2 linked regions of the Caenorhabditis elegans genome follow. The protein of the gene in region 1 interacts with the protein of each later gene in a pairwise test. Each region holds a gene or a part of one and is shown on either strand. Other genes may lie near its edges.

Region 1 (4,831 bases):
TGAAATTGTTGCCCAGTTGTTCCACGAAGCCATTGTGCACGTTTTTCGACTGAGTTCCGGTGTACGAGCATATGCAAAGCATGCGTCATGTAGGCATCACGCTCTTCCACAAAGATTTGGGATAGTTGTGGGAAATCATCAGCCATCTCGGCGAGAAGTTGCTCCAGAAGGTCACGTTGCTTGCATCGTTCCACCTATAATTTTGGAATATTTTTGGAAAAGGTTGAATAATTAAATACCTCTTCTGCAGTTATCTTCTCACGATGTGAAAATGCAACGTGGAAGAAGAAGCGAATTTTTTGCCAGATGGAGAGAGAAGCCAGTGCACGTTGAAGTGTAACTTGAATAGGACGATCACCGAGAACTACACGACAATTCTGAAATAGTTACTTTGTAAATAAAACTTTTTAAATACTCAAACCTCAGTTGCAACTGCTGCACGATGAGCAGCACGGAATTCTCCTCCGGGAGCCATGGAAAGTTCACGTGTTACATGCGCTGACATTGACAGGAGAAGAACGTGCAGAATTCCTTGAATCGCGCCGTTCTTAAAAAAGTTGAAAATATTACAACATTACAACAACAAAAATATGAGAACTCACTTGTTTCATGGTCTGAATAATTTTTTGAGAGTTGAGATCTTTCGCTTCGCTCAAAAGCCGAGCCTCATCCATCGATATGATTGAAATTCGTGATGGACACAGCTCAAGCATGACAAAATCAGGTTGCACAGCACGAATTGTGTTGGATACGTCTTCCTGCGACTCTTTTGAAAAGTGAGCTGTACCGATGAGATAAATGGTGGAGTCGAGAATCGCTTTCTTCCATTCTTCATCAGAATCGCTCAGCACGGGGTTGCGTGGAGGAATCGCCAGATTTGTAGGCCATTTGAGCACTGTTACTGTAATTATAGAATATAGATATCAGTGTTACATCGAACTGGAGTTTTAAGAAACCTGTATTGGCATTTGGGACGAAGTCATCTGCTCTTTTCCTTCCGAAATGGTACCCTCCACAAACAGGATTGTTCACCACTGCACCATCTTCTGTTGCTTCAGGAGCTTGTTCCAGCTCATAATCCAACTCGGCATCATCTCCAACATGCTCATCAAAATTTGAAGTCGAATCTGCGAGTGATATGATGGACTGCTCGGCTGTCTCACTTGCACCACCAACAACTGAAACTAAAAAAATATTAAATATTTTAAAAATAATTATCTTTCCAAACAACTTCAAGCGATGAAAAAAAACTTACGTCCTTTTTTCGAATTGATTGTCAGAGAACGCATCCGGAATAGATCCTGAACATGGAGATTGTTAATAATTTTTACAAATGTAATATTTCAGCATACCTCTTCAGTCAATTGATCTTCCGATGGTGGTGGCACGTCATTAGGGTCTGGAAACTCAGTTCCATCTGGATTCAAGTTTGACGATGACTCTGACATCTGAAAACCTTATTTTGGATATAACTTGAAATTATAACATGTTTTATTTCATACAATCGCGTACAAAGCGGAGCTTACAAAGCTGAAAAACAATTAAAATGAATCCAAATCACTCCAGGTTTCCATTTTAAGTTACAAGAAAAAAAAACAAAAAAGACCAGCGAAGCGCGTTTGCATTGTGTCTCCGTCTCCATAATTTATGTTGTGACTCGGTTAAAACCGCGCCGCACTCGACATTTTGCAACCATGGCACGATTTCTTCTTTCGTAAATCCCCCGCAATTATTTTCAGTAGTTTTTCAGCTTTATTTCTCAGATTATGTCCCTTTTTCTTCTCTTTCGTTGCTGAAAATCTTTTATGAACAACTGTGGTCACGCGATTTAAAAAGAAAACAGAAATTTCTAGGCTGATTATGTTCTTTTATTTCGTTTTAGGACTAAAGTAGGCTCAAAATAATTTAATAATTATAGATGACTACGGGCAATTTACAAGTTGCAATTTATGGATTCACAGCTCGAAGCAGAGCTTTTGAGCCAGCCGGAATATGCTATGAAGTGAGTTTACTATCACCTATGTCCGCAAATATTTCTTAACTGACATTTTCAGACTCGCCTTATTCGAGATAAACTCACACTGGGCCACTGTACGCTTCCAATCTATAAAAACTCTCCTGTTGCAAAGCCTGTTACGGAACAGCAAAGAAAAAAGTCGTCTGAAGAGCCAGCTGAATTGAGAAAAGATCTTTTTGATGCTGATAATGAAAAATATGAAAAGTACTTGATGAAGCTGGATCCAAATGACTGCAAAAATCAGGATCACTACAAAGTTTTAGGATTGTCGAAGCTCAGATGGCAAGCTACATCTGACGAAATTCGTTTCTGTTGTAAGTTAAAATGAAGTGAGAATTTTTTGAAGAGAATTATTTCAGATCGTCAAAAGGTTTTGAAGCATCACCCGGACAAGAAGAAGCATCGTGGAATTGTTATGGAGAAGGAAGAATACTTTACTTGTATCACAAAAGCTTATGAACAAGTTGGAATGTCTGACGTCAAACGTCAAGCTTTCGATTCGGTCGATCATAAATTCAACGATATTATTCCAAATGAGAAATCAATCAACCATAATAACTTTTATAACGAACTTGCTCCAGTTTTCCAATTAAACTCCAGATGGTCCAATATCAAGCCAGTGCCAGAACTTGGTAAATCAGATGCGACCCGGGAGGATGTCGAGAATTTCTACGATTTTTGGTTTAACTTCCAGTCATGGCGCGAGTTCTCGTATTTGGACGAAGAAGACAAGGAAAGAGGAGAAGATCGGTACGAAAGACGAGAGATGGAGAAACAGAATAAGGCAGAAAGAGAAAGACGGCGGAAAGAAGAGGCGAAGAGAATTAGAAAGTTGGTTGATATAGCTTATGCTAAGGATCCTAGAATTATCAAGTTCAAGAAGGAACAGCAAGCGGTAAGTCTATAAACTTTGCCTAAACTTTGCCGGATTTTCAATTTTAAATTTTAGAAAAAAGATAAAGCAAAGGAAGATAAGCAAAGAGCCATCCGTGAAAAGCAAGAAGCTATCGACCGTGAGAAGCGTGAAAAGGAAGAAGCCGAAGCTAAGCAGAAAGAGGAAGCTGACAGAAAAGCAAAGGAAGAAAGAGTGAGCACAATACACCAGAATATTGTCGATTTTTAAATACTAACTATTATTTTCAGGAGAGAGAAAAGAAAGAGCGTGATATTGCCAAGAAAGCTATGTCTCAGCAGCGTAAGCGTCTGAAGAAACTCGCTGATGAAGCTGGCCACTGGACGGAGAATCCTCGCGATAAGCTCACTGAAATGGAAAGAATTGAGCGGATTTGCATTGGGTTCACTGTTGATCAACTCAGAGAGCTGTGCGAGAAGGTCGAATCACTTTCAATTGCTTCTGAAATTCAAACTGCGCTAACAGATGCTGAAATTCTGAAGAAAGAAGCTGCTGGAGCAAAGGTCACAATCACTGAGGATAAGAACAAAGAAAATGAAAAGCAAGCCGACAAGGAGACATGGACTAGTGAAGAGATTCAATTATTGGTTAAGGTAAGACATAAACGATTGGAAATCATTAATTAATTTTCATATTTTTAAAGGCTTCAAACACATTCCCACCTGGAACCGTGGAGAGATGGGTTCAAATTGCCGATTACATTAACGAGCATCGCAAGGATTCTACGGGTTTACCACCAAAAACTGAAAAACAGGTTATCAAGCAATGCAAAGCTGTTCAAACGATGAACGTCAAGCTACCATCAACTACTCAAAATCAGCTAGGAACTGCGCTACCAGATGAGGATGTCTGGTCAGCAACCGAACAGAAAACTTTAGAGGACGCTATCAAGAAGCATAAGTCAAGTGATCCCGAGCGGTGGGAAAAGATCTCAACAGAAGTTGGCACAAAGTCCAAAAAAGCCTGCATTCGTCGTTTCAAGTATCTCGTTCAAATGGTTAAAAATAAGAAATGATCTTCTAGTCCAAGTAATATCTTCTCTAAATCTTCCTCATCCCTTCATATTATTTCTTGTTTCTCCTCCATAACTCTTGTTTCCGTTCCCATCACATTTTAGCTCGTTATATTGTTTTTTCTTCATTTATTCATTTATTCTTGAAAGCCTTAATCATTCTTGACTCTTGACCAACTCAAATTCAGTAGTACTATGTACTTTTTTTTTTGTTTCTGTCATCAAACTTTTTCTGCAGTGCTCAATATTCATGTCTCAGTTATGAACATTAGATGAACGGTGCGTCCCTATCAATTTGTCATGTTCATTTATTCATTCATTTTCACAATAAGTACAAATTTCAATAGTGATGGTGACGGTGGTGATGATAACCGTCCATGTAGATAACTTCAGGTTGAGTATAGATGATTGGAGTAGCAGTTGGATACACGATTGGTTGAACACTTGGATATATGGGTTGAACCATTGGTTGCATAATTTGCTGAACAACCGGAACAATCTGTGGTTGGGGAACAATCATTGGAGGCGGTGGTTGAGCAACAACGATCGGAGTTGGAGCAACAGGCATTTGCATTACACCGATTTCAGTACCTAGAATTATTAAGATTGGAAATCAAAAAACAAAAAAAAATCCCCAGAATATTAAGATAAAAACCAACCTCCTCCGTTATGATGTTTGAAGTTTTCGAAATGAATTTTTCCAACTCGAAGATCTCCTCGAACAGTCATTGCAACGATTCGTTTTGGGCATTTATGATGATGATAATGTCCGATGTGATGTCCGTCCACGTGGATCTGGAATTAAATTGATTGTTTTTACGAGAATATTGTTTGAATAAAAAAAAACTATCTGTGTTCAATAATCTGATATTCTAAACTCAAATAATTA
Region 2 (3,826 bases), 1.8 Mb from region 1:
TCGGACATGTTGAACCCTTAAAATACAGAAATTAGTGAAATATATACTAAAAGAGTCTAGCAGGAAGAAACCGCCACAGCAGCACTTGGGGAACCGCCCGTGATGCAATAGCGAGAAAGAAACGGGGGTTGTGCCATCTCTCGGGCGGCGAGGAGACGCAGAGACACAGAAAGGCCATAGAACAATCGGGCGGTCGCTCTCGGGAGTCTGGGTGAAATATCATTCAGCGAGGACATACTAAAATGACGCTGTTGAACTTTTTATCTATGATCTGAAAGGTTTTGCCCTTAAAATACAAAAAATAAAGTTTCTACGAGATTTACCGCATTTCTAACGCTTACAACTTACAAAATCTACAGTTATCCAGATTTTTATCAACTTATCTCAATTATTAAGAATTAATTTACCTTATCGAAATAGTGATATTGAACTTTAAGGAATGTAGTTACAGATCTAGTAGCGTAAGAACTGAATATAGAAGAGCAGATATCTATATTGCAAAAGAACAAATTTGAAAATATTGACAAAATTTACCAGTCACACAAGTCAGCTGGGCGGTCCGATGCCTTATGGATCATTGCAATGATCATCTAATAACATCAACAAGTGCTGCGCACGAGATAAAAACAGTAAACAAATAACAAGCTGAACAAACAGGATTCAAACCACACAAATTTAAAATGAAAAATTAAGAAAAAAATTTGTTTGCAACAATTTATTGTAACAAATAACAATAATCCGCAACTTAGGCGAAGTGGGTGTTTTGGCGAGCGGTTGTGAAGACGCTGAGGTTCTTTCTCTTGGTGACGCGATGTGGGAGTGGGAATCTGATCTTGGCGTCGTGGAACATCTTGATTCCGGCACGCTTGGTGTCTTCGGCCTTGACGGTTTGGACCTTGAGGATGTGGATGCGGTCAGCTTGGGCACGATGACGAGCTCCCATGTCACGGTAGCACTGGGTGACGGCTCCGGCAACGGTGGTGTCACGGTACTCACGGTACATGTTGTGGTGTCCGGTACGGGAATCGTACTTGAGCCAGACTCCGTAGTTCTTGACGGTTCCTGGGTTCTTCTCGAACACCTGAAAATTTTATTGTAAAATGGGTTATTATTATTATTTTCCACAAACCTGCTTGATCGAAAGGATCTCTCCGTTGGCCTTCTTCACACGACGGAGCATAGAGACGAAGTACCAGAAACGAGACTTGGCGATGACGTGGTTGGTGGCGAAGATTTGCATCTTCCAGATTGGAGTCACTGGCTCCTTCTCTGTTGGGATTTTGCGTCCGACGACGACGTACTCATTAAGAGTCTCTCCAAGAGCCTTGGTTGGCATGTTTTAACCCTGAAAAACAAAAATATGATGCAAGGAATGGGGAATGAACAATCTGATATAATAGCGAAAAACAATTTTAGGATAACGTTACAATTTTCTTTTAAAATGGAAAGGTAGATGGGAATTACCGAAAAAATATGAGTGCATATTGCAATATTTAAAAACTATGAAAAAACTGTTAAATTTTTGTAAAAATCAGAAAAAGAAAAGCGGAAAAAAGCTAAAAAATAGGATCAGGAAAACCCAAAATGAATTTCAACGCACAAAAGTGTATGCGGCAGTGCTAGTTTTGTTGCGTGTTCTATTACCGTATCCTTCATACACTCGCCGTCGATTTACGGGGAGCGGTGGAGCGCACTTACTCCTTAGATTTTTAAGCAATTTTTTTGTTAAAAAGATATAGAAATGTGATTTTAAATGTTTTATTTTAACTATAAAGTTATAATATTAATTTATTTGTACATATTCAGACTTTAATGGCTCTTGCACATGTTTCACGACGGGTTATCAGCAATCAAATACGATGCTTTGCTGCAGCGAATCAAGAGACGAGTTTAGTACATGTTGAAAAGCAATTCGAAGCTATAGAACCGGAGAAAAGAGATAAAGATGCATTCATGGCAGCGATAGGTTTGGATATCTGTCTAGTTTCAACGATTAATCTATGTTTTCAGCCACGTTCAAGGAAAAACGAGGTCGAACGCATGTCGAATTTATCAACACAGCTCTAAAATATGTCAAAGAATATGGGGTTCATAAGGATATCGATACTTATAAAGGACTCCTTGAAGTTTTTCCAAAAGGAAAGATGATCCCACAAACTGTTTTCCAAAAAGTTTTCCTGCATTACCCTCAACAACAAAATTGTGCAGTGAAGGTTCTAGATGAAATGGAGTGGCATGGTAAGTACAAAGTCGTTTACTATTCATAAATTATCAAAAATAGTTGAGGTGTTCAACCGGATAAGGAGATCCATGATATCGTGGTCAACGCATTCGGAGAGTGGAATTTTGCAACGAAAAAGGTGAAGCGTATGCTCTATTGGATGCCAAAGCTGAAACATTCGAATAAATATCTGGACAGGCGCCACGTGGAAGGGAAGTCTCTATCACCCTCCGAGTTAGCCGGAATCGCGCTGAAAATGATGAGCCGAGACGCTGCGTCCTCTATTTCGCTTCTAAAACTGTCAGATTCATCAGATCCACAACAAAAATGGCTAGCCACGTCACAGAGCCCAATGCAACAGATATTAATTTCTGAATTGCGAAAAGGTGATGAAGTCTTCGTGGATGCTGCAAAAGTCTATCTACAAGACAGAGTTATTCCATTTATCACATTAACTGGAAATACGAAGCTGGAACCTTTAAACGAGTTCAAAAACGAAGATATGGACGAAGATTATACAAATTGGTACGCGGACTGGCAGAAGCAAAGAGGAGAAGCTAAAAGGTAGGTTTACAGTTCAAATTTTAGATTTGATATAAAATTTTAATTTTCAGATCGATCCACGAACAAGACCACGAAACGATTTTCGCAATGGGTGCTATGTATAAAGATGATAATGCAACAGCGATTCGATGGATTGATAATCTACAAAAAACCAACCCAAATATGGAGAACCTGAGGTTCCGAGTTCGATTGGAAGGAAACCCGATAATTTCAAGAAAATAAAATGTATTGTGTTGACTAGAATTTGAGAAACAATAAATAATTAACAGTTTGTGCCGATTCTCTTAACAGCTGACCTTGTTCTGCGTGTTTTTTTTTTGCGCTCGCTAGTCCCAAATGTTGTGATAAGACAACATTCACTTTTTTGGATTATTATGGATTATTGAGGATTGGCAGTACAGAACTAACTGCAACTCTGGGAGCGCCGAGGTCTGTCTAAAATGCCAAAATAAAAAATATATCCGGCGATAGATTTGTCTGTAATCCGAGATTCGAAATTGTTTTGTTTTGTGGTTCTATCAGAAGAACATGTTGCATGAAATTGTGATATCTTAAACTACAAGAAACAGGAAAATGTTAAACGCGGTTTTATAAAATAACAATACTGAAGCACTCATGAATAAAACCAATTTTTATCTAATTTTACGCATGAATACAGCGATTTTGTATTTTACTACGTTTTTTTTTACTACGAATTGCTATTGCATTTTTTTACTACGAATTGCTATTGCATTGAGAATATGAAAATAAGATAAAATAAATAGTGATTTATTTTGGGACGGTCTCTTTAAAGGCGCAACCGAAAAAAGTTCGCGCAGGTCTCGTCACGAATACAGTCGTTTCTTTGGATTTTATCGAATTGATTCGTTTTTTGAGTTTGGACAACTTTCTACCCTCAACATGAACGACGAGATCATCTCAAATCTTCATATGCTTTCGGCAGTGCATCGAAGTCTTCCACGTGATGCTCGTAAGGATTACTTGTCCAGAGTTCGGGGAAAAGTCGAACATCTCTACAAAGCTATTCAAGGTAACAAAAAA

Evidence for each region.
Region 2: the proteins of dnj-11 (region 1) and Y17G9B.5 interact in a two-hybrid assay, tested with the Caenorhabditis elegans proteins (one large-scale study listed by BioGRID).

Annotation. Positions count from the first base shown.
Region 1 is NC_003282.8:6,583,953-6,588,783, forward strand, and holds dnj-11 (DnaJ homolog subfamily C member 2), read left to right. Parts: upstream 1-1,918; coding exon 1,919-2,002; intron 2,003-2,054; coding exon 2,055-2,331; intron 2,332-2,376; coding exon 2,377-2,912; intron 2,913-2,966; coding exon 2,967-3,104; intron 3,105-3,160; coding exon 3,161-3,523; intron 3,524-3,573; coding exon 3,574-3,945; 3' UTR 3,946-4,234; downstream 4,235-4,831. Other genes in the region: F38A5.2 (TraB domain-containing protein), read right to left, coding at 1-194, 240-377, 422-547, 603-901, 957-1,184, 1,256-1,301, 1,353-1,448; lec-11 (Galectin), read right to left, coding at 4,283-4,533, 4,602-4,737.
Region 2 is NC_003282.8:4,748,434-4,752,259, forward strand, and holds Y17G9B.5 (Evolutionarily conserved signaling intermediate in Toll pathway, mitochondrial), read left to right. Parts: upstream 1-1,806; 5' UTR 1,807-1,812; coding exon 1,813-1,966; intron 1,967-2,010; coding exon 2,011-2,238; intron 2,239-2,286; coding exon 2,287-2,785; intron 2,786-2,835; coding exon 2,836-3,007; 3' UTR 3,008-3,058; downstream 3,059-3,826. Other genes in the region: cyc-2.1 (Cytochrome c 2.1), read right to left, coding at 1-8; rpl-18A (Large ribosomal subunit protein eL20), read right to left, coding at 746-1,081, 1,130-1,336; Y17G9B.4 (Peptidyl-prolyl cis-trans isomerase), read left to right, coding at 3,686-3,826.